Saccharomyces cerevisiae S288C: one gene and its partner. The gene in region 2 interacts genetically with the main gene of each other region. Each region holds a gene or a part of one and is shown on either strand. Other genes may lie near its edges.

Region 1 (5,175 bases), on a different chromosome or scaffold from region 2:
TGCTAATAAATCACGCCTTGGCAATCTTTTATCAGAATATACCTCAATGAAGAGTAAAGCAGGTTCTGGTACACCGAGAGATCTGTTTTGGAGCAAAGTTTCATCTGCCTTCAAAAAGGACTTTGATATATCTGTTAATAGAGGAGGCCCTGTGGGCAAGTCGCTGTTAAAAAATAAAGATTTTATTATAAACACTATGAAGCAAAGTATGAAAAAATCTTCTGATAATAGTGATTACCAAAGCTACTTGGATGTAATGCTAAACTCAGTATCTATTTCTCTAAATAAGTGAGACAGTTTACATAAAATTAAGAATGTTGATGAAATAGGATGAATCTAAAGCAATTTTCAATAGCATGTGCATATGTTTAATAAAAATTACATGAAATGTAATATTTGTTTATATTATTAAAGATTATACTAGTAATAGTTATTATGAGAAATCCAATATCGGTTAGTTTATATGAAGTATTAATATGTATATATATACATTTACGTGGTCATTCTGTCCTAAACTTAGGGGTACTGCCAGCTTTTGCCAGTGGGTTCAAAGGTACCTTTTTTTTGTTTTTCTTTCCACCACGCTTATGAAACTTTTTCTTCAACTGTTTCTTTATCTCACGAGCTTTGGTATCACGCTCCTTGGTTCTTTCAAGTGCCAGTTTTTTGGCTGCACGTTGCTTTTGACCAGGTCTCCTCTTTTTAATCTTCAATTCCTTCTGCTGCTCTAACTCTATTCTCGCATTGTGCTTATACAGATCTATTATTCGACCCTGGCAATATGGCCATTTATCACGAATACGTAGATCATCCTCCAGAATTTTTGTACTTTCTTGTATTATCACATCATAGTCGATAGAGCTCTGTTGGAATTGCAGCTTTTGGTCTGCAGAATAGCTTGCAAAGTAGTAGTCTTTGGGCCTTTCTTGGTTGATTATTTCTTCTTCAGGTTCCTTCAATGAAATTTTCATCAAACTTACTTCAGTCTGTGGCGTATCCTTCTCTTGAGTTGATGAACCTTGTTCTTCTTGAGCTGGGCTAGTCGATGCTTCAACCACACCAAACGAAAATAACGGGAACTCGAATTCTTCTTGTTTTTCTTCCTTTTGTTCATGTGCGCTGTTATTACTTTCTTTGAGATCTAATGATGAGTCGGTTCTTTCAACTTCAACGAATTCAAATTCTGTTGGCGGTACTAATACCTCTACATGCTCACTATTATTTTTACTACTACTATTGGAATCATAATCTTCTCCTAATCCCTCTCCTTCATTATAAAGATCTTTTCTTGATACTCTGCAAAATAATTAGAATATTAAACGATTCGTTGAAAAGTTAGTAAAAAAATGAAATTAGAGGCAAACTTGTATCTTATGTCAAAGCATACATCTTAAATTCAGACATTTTTATACTGAATTTCAATGTTTTTCTTTTTTTTTCATTAGAGGAGATTTTTCCATTGCTGTTTAAATGAAACTGGTCGTATTTTAAGTACTTCAAATTTTTCTTTTTCGTACTGATCCGATGACTTGAAAATACTTATTTTTTATGTAGGAACAGAATGGCATTTTTGAAGTACATAACTCTCACACGCAAAGGCCAAAATCTTTCACGATTTACTTTTATTTCTATCTGTATTGTATATCAAAATCTATACATGATGATCGGTTAATAAAGATAAAGATTAAAGAAAGACTGATTGTTATCTGTTGATACTAGTCTTCATACTCTGTAAGTATTCTCTATAACTAGCACAATTTAAAACTTTGTCTTCGACAAGAGTACTTAATACCCATAGCCTTAAAGAAGCCATATCTTTTTCGGAGTTTAGGTTGGCGGGCTCGTTAATAGATGGTCCTCTTATTATGTATAATGATTGAAATGTGATTGTATCATTGTTTTCTCTAATTCTACCGATTATCCTCCTTAGTCTTTCATTGAAAGGCGAATCGTTCAAAAGAGGCAGTTCACTTTTCCCCACAGGAATTTGAGATATGGTGTCAGTATTGAATACATCTATTAGTAACTCAGGAACAGCATCTCCGCCAACCCATAAAAATAATTCTGCGGAATTGTCAATTAAATACAGGCCATATCTTTCGAAAAGAGATATAGTGGCATTTATAGGTTCAGGAAGAACCGTTTTTCCTTCAAAGTCAGGTAGACCGACTTCGTCGGGCATGTCGTGCAGGGAGTAAACTGTAGGGTAAATGCTCTTTATCAAATAATGAAGAGGCTCCGTTTCCAATCTATTCAACGCACTTGCACGGTAATCGCTTGGAACAACGCCCGGTCTGAGGGCTATATGTTTACTTAGTCCATTCATTAATAGAGGTAACATTCTCAAATTTGCGCATAGGTTAAGTGAGGTTACTGAATTTATATTAGACATCGAAATTTCTTTTTTGTAGGCATTTAAAATATCTTCGAGCGATTTTGTGATAAAATCCCTCGCAGAGTACATGCTTGAATTCAAAGCCTTAGTCACCGCGTTTTGTGTCATGAAATCAGTAATGGCTAGTTGATCTGCGGATGCAAACACTTCCCTAGCTGATTCGGACGTTGGTAGAGCTAACGTCATGACTCTAATTCTACGTTCACCAGTGTTTAGAGTCAACAATGTTGACACTTGCAAGTAGCAATATTCTGCCATTAATGAGTCTTCGATGGATATCCCGAAAAGATAAGACTGATCTCTAGGCATTGTGGAAAAAGCGCATAAATCAGAGGATCTGTTAAAAAAATGGCCAAAAAACGATGTGGCCCTCAAGCCAGTAGAACAACGAACTCTCATAACAGCTTCCATTGAAATATCCATGGATAAATGCCTTGATAATTCCCTAGTAAACTTAGTAACATCGTTCAAACTGGTGGCATTAAAACCAGGATAAAAATGTGTTTGACCACCAGAAAAACGGCCCAGGTGAGATAGAGTGGCAACGTCCATGTAGTCCTCTGATGCCAGAAACATGTCCACTGTTATTTGTAGTTTATTACACTCAATTGTGAATGTTTTATAAAAGGAATCTTTACACGACAGTAGCTGAGAGCTTTCTTTTGGTGTGTTTAATATGCCCTGTTCACTTCTTTTTTTCAATTTCCCGATGCCAGTATTTGGTAAAGTTGATGAAATGACTTCAACTTTGCCTCCAGTGCTTTTTATCAAATTTGACGCAGCTTTTAGGGCAGGTCCAAGTGCAAACTTGCTACTGTGTGTGTCTTGAAAAATTTCAGGTATCTTTTTCAACAATGTTTCCAGATTATTTTTACAATATTTTAGTGGAACTACTAATTCATCACTCGGCATTGGTAAAAATGGTTCATCCAAATCGCCAATATCAAACATTTGAATTGTTTCTGAATTATCAACGTCTTCCTCTTCCTCGTCTTCATCTTCTTCTTCACCATCTGATTCTTCATCATCCTCATCCGATACTTCATAATCATCATCCAAAGGAACGTAAAAATAATGAAGGCTATGATCAACACATATAATAGCAATTCTGGTCCTTCCATCATGATTTGGTAGAAATTCTATGTTTTCTAAAATGGTTCTGGCAGAAGTAGCCAATAAACCATTTTTGACAGCGTTTTGAGAAACATCTAAAAGAAATACATAAACAGATGGTGGGGGTTCCCTAACAGAATATTCTACGGGAGCCAAGTAATCCACGACAGAGTTTTTAATTTCGTTTCTTTCATATCTGTTGATTGGAGCGCCTTGTAAGTTCTGATCAAACCCAAATGGGACATCATTTTTGAAACGGCATATATTACATTGCCATTTTCTCCCTTGGTTAATGAAAACGACAAAAGGGTTCATATATGAACGACAACGGCGACAGCGGACAATGACTCCGTCAGTATTTAGCGGTACTTGGTTGTCTGAATCTTGCAAATGCAAATATGGTCTAATAACAATGGCAAATGGTAACTTCGTTTTCTTCAGCAGAGAGTTTGTTTTTGGCACCGCTTTCAAAGTAGATCTGACGTACTGGTATGGAACATTTGAATATTCGGATGGAGTCACAATGTTATCCTGAGAAATGGTGATTGGAAGAGGTGGTAAAGACAGGTCACGGATTGGCGGAGGTAATTCTGTAAACAAATCCACAGGGTATAGTTGATTGACCACTTTCCCAGAACCAGGAAACTGTTGATTTTGAGCTAGCTGTGTAAATGAGTTAGCCCTATTGTTCAATTGTAGGTTGCCCATTGCATAAGCTGTTTGGTCGATTTGTTGTTGAGACTGCTGTTGCTCTGCAACTATTGGCATACTTGCAATGTATGGCACCTGAGCTTGAGGGTACACCCTCTTCTTATGATGAGACATTATTCACTGCAGCTGTCGATCATTAATGGAAGAAGGTTCATCAACCAAGCACACTGCAAATGAAGGGTTAGATGAAGAGTTCGACGAAGACCCTTTTAACTGACGTATCATTCATCGTTGTCATCGCTACATCTATGTCCTTCGGGTAAGCTAAACAAAAAGTGAAAAGTTCAATAAATAATAAGATTGAGAGGTAAGTGAAGTGAAGATAGATGTTAGTATCCAAGTGTGACCAACATGTTCAGGTGATTGCAGGCGAAAATGGGCAGTGCTTGGACAAACTACAATTTTGAAGAGGTTAAGTCTCATTTTGGGTTCAAAAAATATGTTGTATCATCTTTAGTACTAGTGTATGGACTAATTAAGGTTCTCACGTGGATCTTCCGTCAATGGGTGTATTCCAGCTTGAATCCGTTCTCCAAAAAATCTTCATTACTGAACAGAGCAGTTGCCTCCTGTGGTGAGAAGAATGTGAAAGTTTTTGGTTTTTTTCATCCGTATTGTAATGCTGGTGGTGGTGGGGAAAAAGTGCTCTGGAAAGCTGTAGATATCACTTTGAGAAAAGATGCTAAGAACGTTATTGTCATTTATTCAGGGGATTTTGTGAATGGAGAGAATGTTACTCCGGAGAATATTCTAAATAATGTGAAAGCGAAGTTCGATTACGACTTGGATTCGGATAGAATATTTTTCATTTCATTGAAGCTAAGATACTTGGTGGATTCTTCAACATGGAAGCATTTCACGTTGATTGGACAAGCAATTGGATCAATGATTCTCGCATTTGAATCCATTATTCAGTGTCCACCTGATATATGGATTGATACAATGGGGTACCCTTT
Region 2 (6,856 bases):
AGAATCTGTCGAAGCCTACTTAGTCTCTTTATTTGAAGATACCAACTTGGCTGCCATTCACGCCAAGCGTGTCACTATCCAAAAGAAGGATATCAAGTTGGCTAGAAGATTAAGAGGTGAAAGATCATAGTTTGTTGATTGTCATCAGTTTTAGTAAAAAACGAACAAAAACACAATAAAATATAAATCAATATATTTAGGTTTACTGGGTTCTTTAACAGTTGTATAATAGTTATTTTTTATTACAAAAATATAGGTTTTAATAAAAAAAAATAGGGTTCTATTTGTTTTACATTTATTGATTTGTTTTTCCTGGCGATACCCTCGAAAAAAGCCAGGCCTTGTAGGAGGCAAGATTTATGGCTTTCCATGTGGTTAAAGAAAAATTGCAGCAGGAAGATATTCATTCATGAGTCAGTTATATAATCGATATATAGCTACATATTAAACAACTTGAAGCCGCATACGTGGTAGGTGTCTCATTTTCAATTCAAAATATTTTAAACAGAACCGGAGATGAAGAACCACTTGTCAATAGACTTGTCAATTGGAGCATCTGCCTTTGGAGAAGCTGGTGGGATGGCATCAGAGGCAGCCTTGGAGTAGGTTGGGGTGTCAGGCAAAGTAACATTGGTCAAATCAATACCCTTGCTGTCAGAAGACTTACCAGCAATTAATTGTTTCCAGGAGTCATGTGTTTCCTTGATGATATCCAAAGCGTACTTCTTGTTCTTAGCTTCACCGGAGAAGGCAAATTGGTTTTCTGGCTTACCATCTGGGATTTTGTAAATTCTGAACCATTCGTTAGTAGCCCTCAACAGACCTGGGAAGTATTTCTCAACATCCTCAATGTCGTTCAATTTTGGGGCTAATGGATCGTTAATATCAATGGCAATAACTTTCCAATCGGTCTCACCTTCATCCAATAAAGCCATGATACCTAGAGCCTTAACTTGCTTGACTTGACCAGTGTAAGCAATAGTTTCACCAATTTCCAACACATCAATTGGATCGTTGTCACCAACTGCCTTAGTTTCTGGGTGGCTTACGTTTGGGTCTTCCCAAGTTTGTGGGAAAGCACCATAGTTGTGAATGTAACCATGGTGAGGGAAACAGTTTCTAACAAATCTCAACTTGCCCTTCTTGGTGTCTTGGATGATTGGGTTCAAAGTTTCTTCCTTGGTGATTTCTAACTTGGCGTTGGTCCAACGTGGAATTTCAACAACCATGTTGAAAATGTTGTTTTCCTTGTCAGCGTACAAGGGAATGTCGTGGAAGGCAGAAACTGGCTTACCATCCTTTTCGATATAAACTTTGTATTCCAAGGTGTTCTTGGCACCAATTTGTCTGGTAGTGTAGGTCATTAGTAAATTGCGCGGCGGGATATCCTGTTCTATAGACCTAAGGGACAACAAATCAAAATAGATGATTAAGAAAGTAAGTATTCAAAAACAAGTTGTAAATGAACTAACCTTCCTAACTTCGACGCGACCTTAAAACGTCGAAAAAAAACGAGAAAAAGTCATCATGAGACTATCGTATCTAATGACTGTGGCTTCTCCCAACAACCTTAGCGTCTGCGATGACGATATTTTGAAGAACAGTCAAATCCGTTTGAATAGTGCGCCACACAGGGATAATAATAGCACATTGGCATCTCCTTCTGTGAATGAAACACTTCTACCTGGGCTTCAAAGTCCCGCAACCTTTTAGTTACATAAAATTCGGCGGCTAAATCATGATATTATATTGATGGGTAATGTAGCGTTCAGTAAAACGGTTCCTATGTATTACTATCACGTGGGTGGGGAAGACCACATTCTTAGAGAAGAGTAATCATTTTAGCAGATTATTTTTACCTTTTTCAACTCATGAACTCATGTTCAAAGGTACAATATATTACCCTTTCTTCAAAGTATCCGAATGATTTGAACCGCACTCTGAGGGAGCCATCAAATTCTATTGAGCGACTTCGAATCGAACAATCCAATTAAATCAGCCTTTAGCGCCATATTTCTCCTTGTATCCATTGTTTACTTCTCCCTTGTATCTTGTATATGAGAATTATGGGAATAAGATAATTGTTGGGATTCCATTGTTTTCAAAGGCTGTAATATTAGGTACACAGATTATACTAGAAGTTCTTTTCGAGGATATAGGAATCCACAAAAGGAAATCGATAGTTATACATAATAATATTATTGTATCTTACTTCCTTTTATATGTTGTCACTCATTATTGTGTCGTGCATTCCATTAGATTGGATGACTGTTTCTCAATCTTTATGCCATCCTCTTACACCGCATGTGATATAATAGTAACATGAGTGCTGCGAAATAGATGATATTAAAATTTCATTCCAACAAAGTTCCATATATATCCATATATATATATATATTTCACGAGGATAATGAGTTAAAATACTATGTAAAGGTATTGTGGTTCATTTTTCTTTTATCAATTTTTATCCAAGTTTTTCTGATCTATAACATGTCCAATACACTTTTTCGAACTATAACCGCCAACAAATTTATCTTATAGACGAGAAACACTTTTATGATATCGATGTTCTACACCTACTGCCGATAACACCGTGTTTTCACTATTATAGCATATACCATTTTTGTAACCAATGTGTTGTTGTAATTCTCCGCAAGGCATATCCCAGATATTCTTATATGGCCCATTTCCACTTCGTTGAAGCCTCACATCAAAAGAGCAATCTTGAGATAATTTCAAAACCACACACATCGCTGCAGTTTCATAATATCTGTCATCACTGATGCAATAATTAAGTGACGAAATTATATCATTATTAACAGCTGTATTATTATTATAATCAAGACAAGCTGAATTTGATGCAAATATATATTCCCATTCAGTGCCGTTTCTTTCGAATTTATAGAAATCACTTCTTTGTAGGTAATTGTTCTGGCTTACTTTGAGCTTATTCATGTTAAAGTAATTGTTGGAATAAAAATCCACTATCGTCTATCAACTAATAGTTATATTATCAATATATTATCATATACGGTGTTAAGATGATGACATAAGTTATGAGAAGCTGTCATCGAAGTTAGAGGAAGCTGAAGTGCAAGGATTGATAATGTAATAGGATAATGAAACATATAAAACGGAATGAGGAATAATCGCAATATTAGTATGTAGAAATATAGATTCCATTTTGAGGATTCCTATATCCTCGAGGAGAACTTCTAGTATATTCTGTATACCTAATATTATAGCCTTTATCAACAATGGAATCCCAACAATTATCTAATTACCCACATATATCTCATGGTAGCGCCTGTGCTTCGGTTACTTCTAAGGAAGTCCACACAAATCAAGATCCGTTAGACGTTTCAGCTTCCAAAATTCAAGAATATGATAAGGCTTCCACTAAGGCTAACTCTCAACAGACAACAACACCTGCTTCATCAGCTGTTCCAGAGAACCCCCATCATGCCTCTCCTCAACCTGCTTCAGTACCACCTCCACAGAATGGGCCGTACCCACAGCAGTGCATGATGACCCAAAACCAAGCCAATCCATCTGGTTGGTCATTTTACGGACACCCATCTATGATTCCGTATACACCTTATCAAATGTCGCCTATGTACTTTCCACCTGGGCCACAATCACAGTTTCCGCAGTATCCATCATCAGTTGGAACGCCTCTGAGCACTCCATCACCTGAGTCAGGTAATACATTTACTGATTCATCCTCAGCGGACTCTGATATGACATCCACTAAAAAATATGTCAGACCACCACCAATGTTAACCTCACCTAATGACTTTCCAAATTGGGTTAAAACATACATCAAATTTTTACAAAACTCGAATCTCGGTGGTATTATTCCGACAGTAAACGGAAAACCCGTACGTCCGATCACTGATGATGAACTCACCTTCTTGTATAACGCTTTTCAAATATTTGCTCCCTCTCAATTCCTACCTACCTGGGTCAAAGACATCCTATCCGTTGATTATACGGATATCATGAAAATTCTTTCCAAAAGTATTGAAAAAATGCAATCTGATACCCAAGAGGCAAACGACATTGTGACCCTGGCAAATTTGCAATATAATGGCAGTACACCTGCAGATGCATTTGAAACAAAAGTCACAAACATTATCGACAGACTGAACAATAATGGCATTCATATCAATAACAAGGTCGCATGTCAATTAATTATGAGAGGTCTATCTGGCGAATATAAATTTTTACGCTACACACGTCATCGACATCTAAATATGACAGTCGCTGAACTGTTCTTAGATATCCATGCTATTTATGAAGAACAACAGGGATCGAGAAACAGCAAACCTAATTACAGGAGAAATCCGAGTGATGAGAAGAATGATTCTCGCAGCTATACGAATACAACCAAACCCAAAGTTATAGCTCGGAATCCTCAAAAAACAAATAATTCGAAATCGAAAACAGCCAGGGCTCACAATGTATCCACATCTAATAACTCTCCCAGCACGGACAACGATTCCATCAGTAAATCAACTACTGAACCGATTCAATTGAACAATAAGCACGACCTTCATCTTAGGCCAGAAACTTACTGAATCTACAGTAAATCATACTAATCATTCTGATGATGAACTCCCTGGACACCTCCTTCTCGATTCAGGAGCATCACGAACCCTTATAAGATCTGCTCATCACATACACTCAGCATCATCTAATCCTGACATAAACGTAGTTGATGCTCAAAAAAGAAATATACCAATTAACGCTATTGGTGACCTACAATTTCACTTCCAGGACAACACCAAAACATCATTAAAGGTATTGCACACTCCTAACATAGCCTATGACTTACTCAGTTTGAATGAATTGGCTGCAGTAGATATCACAGCATGCTTTACCAAAAACGTCTTAGAACGATCTGACGGCACTGTACTTGCACCTATCGTAAAATATGGAGACTTTTACTGGGTATCTAAAAAGTACTTGCTTCCATCAAATATCTCCGTACCCACCATCAATAATGTCCATACAAGTGAAAGTACACGCAAATATCCTTATCCTTTCATTCATCGAATGCTTGCGCATGCCAATGCACAGACAATTCGATACTCACTTAAAAATAACACCATCACGTATTTTAACGAATCAGATGTCGACTGGTCTAGTGCTATTGACTATCAATGTCCTGATTGTTTAATCGGCAAAAGCACCAAACACAGACATATCAAAGGTTCACGACTAAAATACCAAAATTCATACGAACCCTTTCAATACCTACATACTGACATATTTGGTCCAGTTCACAACCTACCAAAAAGTGCACCATCCTATTTCATCTCATTTACTGATGAGACAACAAAATTCCGTTGGGTTTATCCATTACACGACCGTCGCGAGGACTCTATCCTCGATGTTTTTACTACGATACTAGCTTTTATTAAAAACCAGTTTCAGGCCAGTGTCTTGGTTATACAAATGGACCGTGGTTCTGAGTATACTAACAGAACTCTCCATAAATTCCTTGAAAAAAATGGTATAACTCCATGCTATACAACCACAGCGGATTCCCGAGCACATGGAGTCGCTGAACGGCTGAACCGTACCTTATTAGATGACTGCCGTACTCAACTGCAATGTAGTGGTTTACCGAACCATTTATGGTTCTCTGCAATCGAATTTTCTACTATTGTGAGAAATTCACTAGCTTCACCTAAAAGCAAAAAATCTGCAAGACAACATGCTGGCTTGGCAGGACTTGATATCAGTACTTTGTTACCTTTCGGTCAACCTGTTATCGTCAATGATCACAACCCTAACTCCAAAATACATCCTCGTGGCATCCCAGGCTACGCTCTACATCCGTCTCGAAACTCTTATGGATATATCATCTATCTTCCATCCTTAAAGAAGACAGTAGATACAACTAACTATGTTATTCTTCAGGGCAAGGACTCCAGATTAGATCAATTCAATTACGACGCACTCACTTTCGATGAAGACTTAAACCGTTTAACTGCTTCATATCAATCGTTCATTGCGTCAAATGAGATCCAACAATCCAATGATCTTAACATAGAATCAGACCATGACTTTCAATCTGATATTGAACTATATCCTGAGCAACCGAGAAATGTCCTTTCAAAAGCTGTGAGTCCAACCGATTCCACACCCCCGTCAACTCATACTGAAGATTCGAAACGTGTTTCTAAAACCAATATTCGCGCACCCAGAGAAGTTGACCCCAACATATCTGAATCTAATATTCTTCCATCTAAGAAGAGATCTAGCACCCCCCAAATTTCCGATATCGAGAGTACCGATTCGGGTGGTATGCATAGATTAGATGTTCCTTTACTTGCTCCCATGTCCCAATCTAACACACATGAGTCGTCGTACGCCAGTAAATCTAAAGATTTCAGACACTCAGACTCGTACAGTGACAATGAGACTAATCATACAAACGTACCAATATCCAGTACGGGTGGTACCAATAATAAAACTGTTCCGCAGACAAGCGAACAGGAGACTGAGAAAAGGATTATACACCGCTTCACCTCCGATCGGATACTTCCGTCATCAGAAAGTAATTCACTACACCATGTCGTTCCTATCAAAACGTCAGATACTTGTTTTAAGGAAAATACAGAGGAATCTATTATCGCTGATCTTCCACTCCCCGATCTGCCTCCAGAACCTCCTACCGAATTATCAGACTCTTTTAAAGAACTTCCACCGATCAATTCTCGTCAAACTAATTCCAGTTTGGGTGGTATTGGTGACTCTAATGCCTATACTACTATCAACAGTAAGAAAAGATCATTAGAAGATAATGAAACTGAAATTAAGGTATCACGAGACACATGGAATACTA

The links. Genes that interact genetically often act in the same process or in processes that back each other up.
Region 1: mutations in IPP1 (region 2) and YNL050C together harm fitness less than expected from each alone (positive genetic interaction), as found in Saccharomyces cerevisiae (one large-scale study listed by BioGRID).

Annotation. Positions count from the first base shown.
Region 1 is NC_001146.8:533,579-538,753, forward strand, and holds YNL050C (uncharacterized protein), read right to left. Parts: upstream 1,405-5,175; coding exon 1,388-1,404; intron 1,297-1,387; coding exon 501-1,296; downstream 1-500. Other genes in the region: Golgi transport complex subunit COG5, read left to right, coding at 1-292; COPII subunit SFB2, read right to left, coding at 1,703-4,333; alpha-1,2-mannosyltransferase ALG11, read left to right, coding at 4,595-5,175.
Region 2 is NC_001134.8:256,612-263,467, forward strand, and holds IPP1 (inorganic diphosphatase IPP1), read right to left. Parts: upstream 1,365-6,856; coding exon 501-1,364; downstream 1-500. Other genes in the region: HHT1 (histone H3), read left to right, coding at 1-130; YBR012W-A (gag protein), read left to right, coding at 3,258-4,580.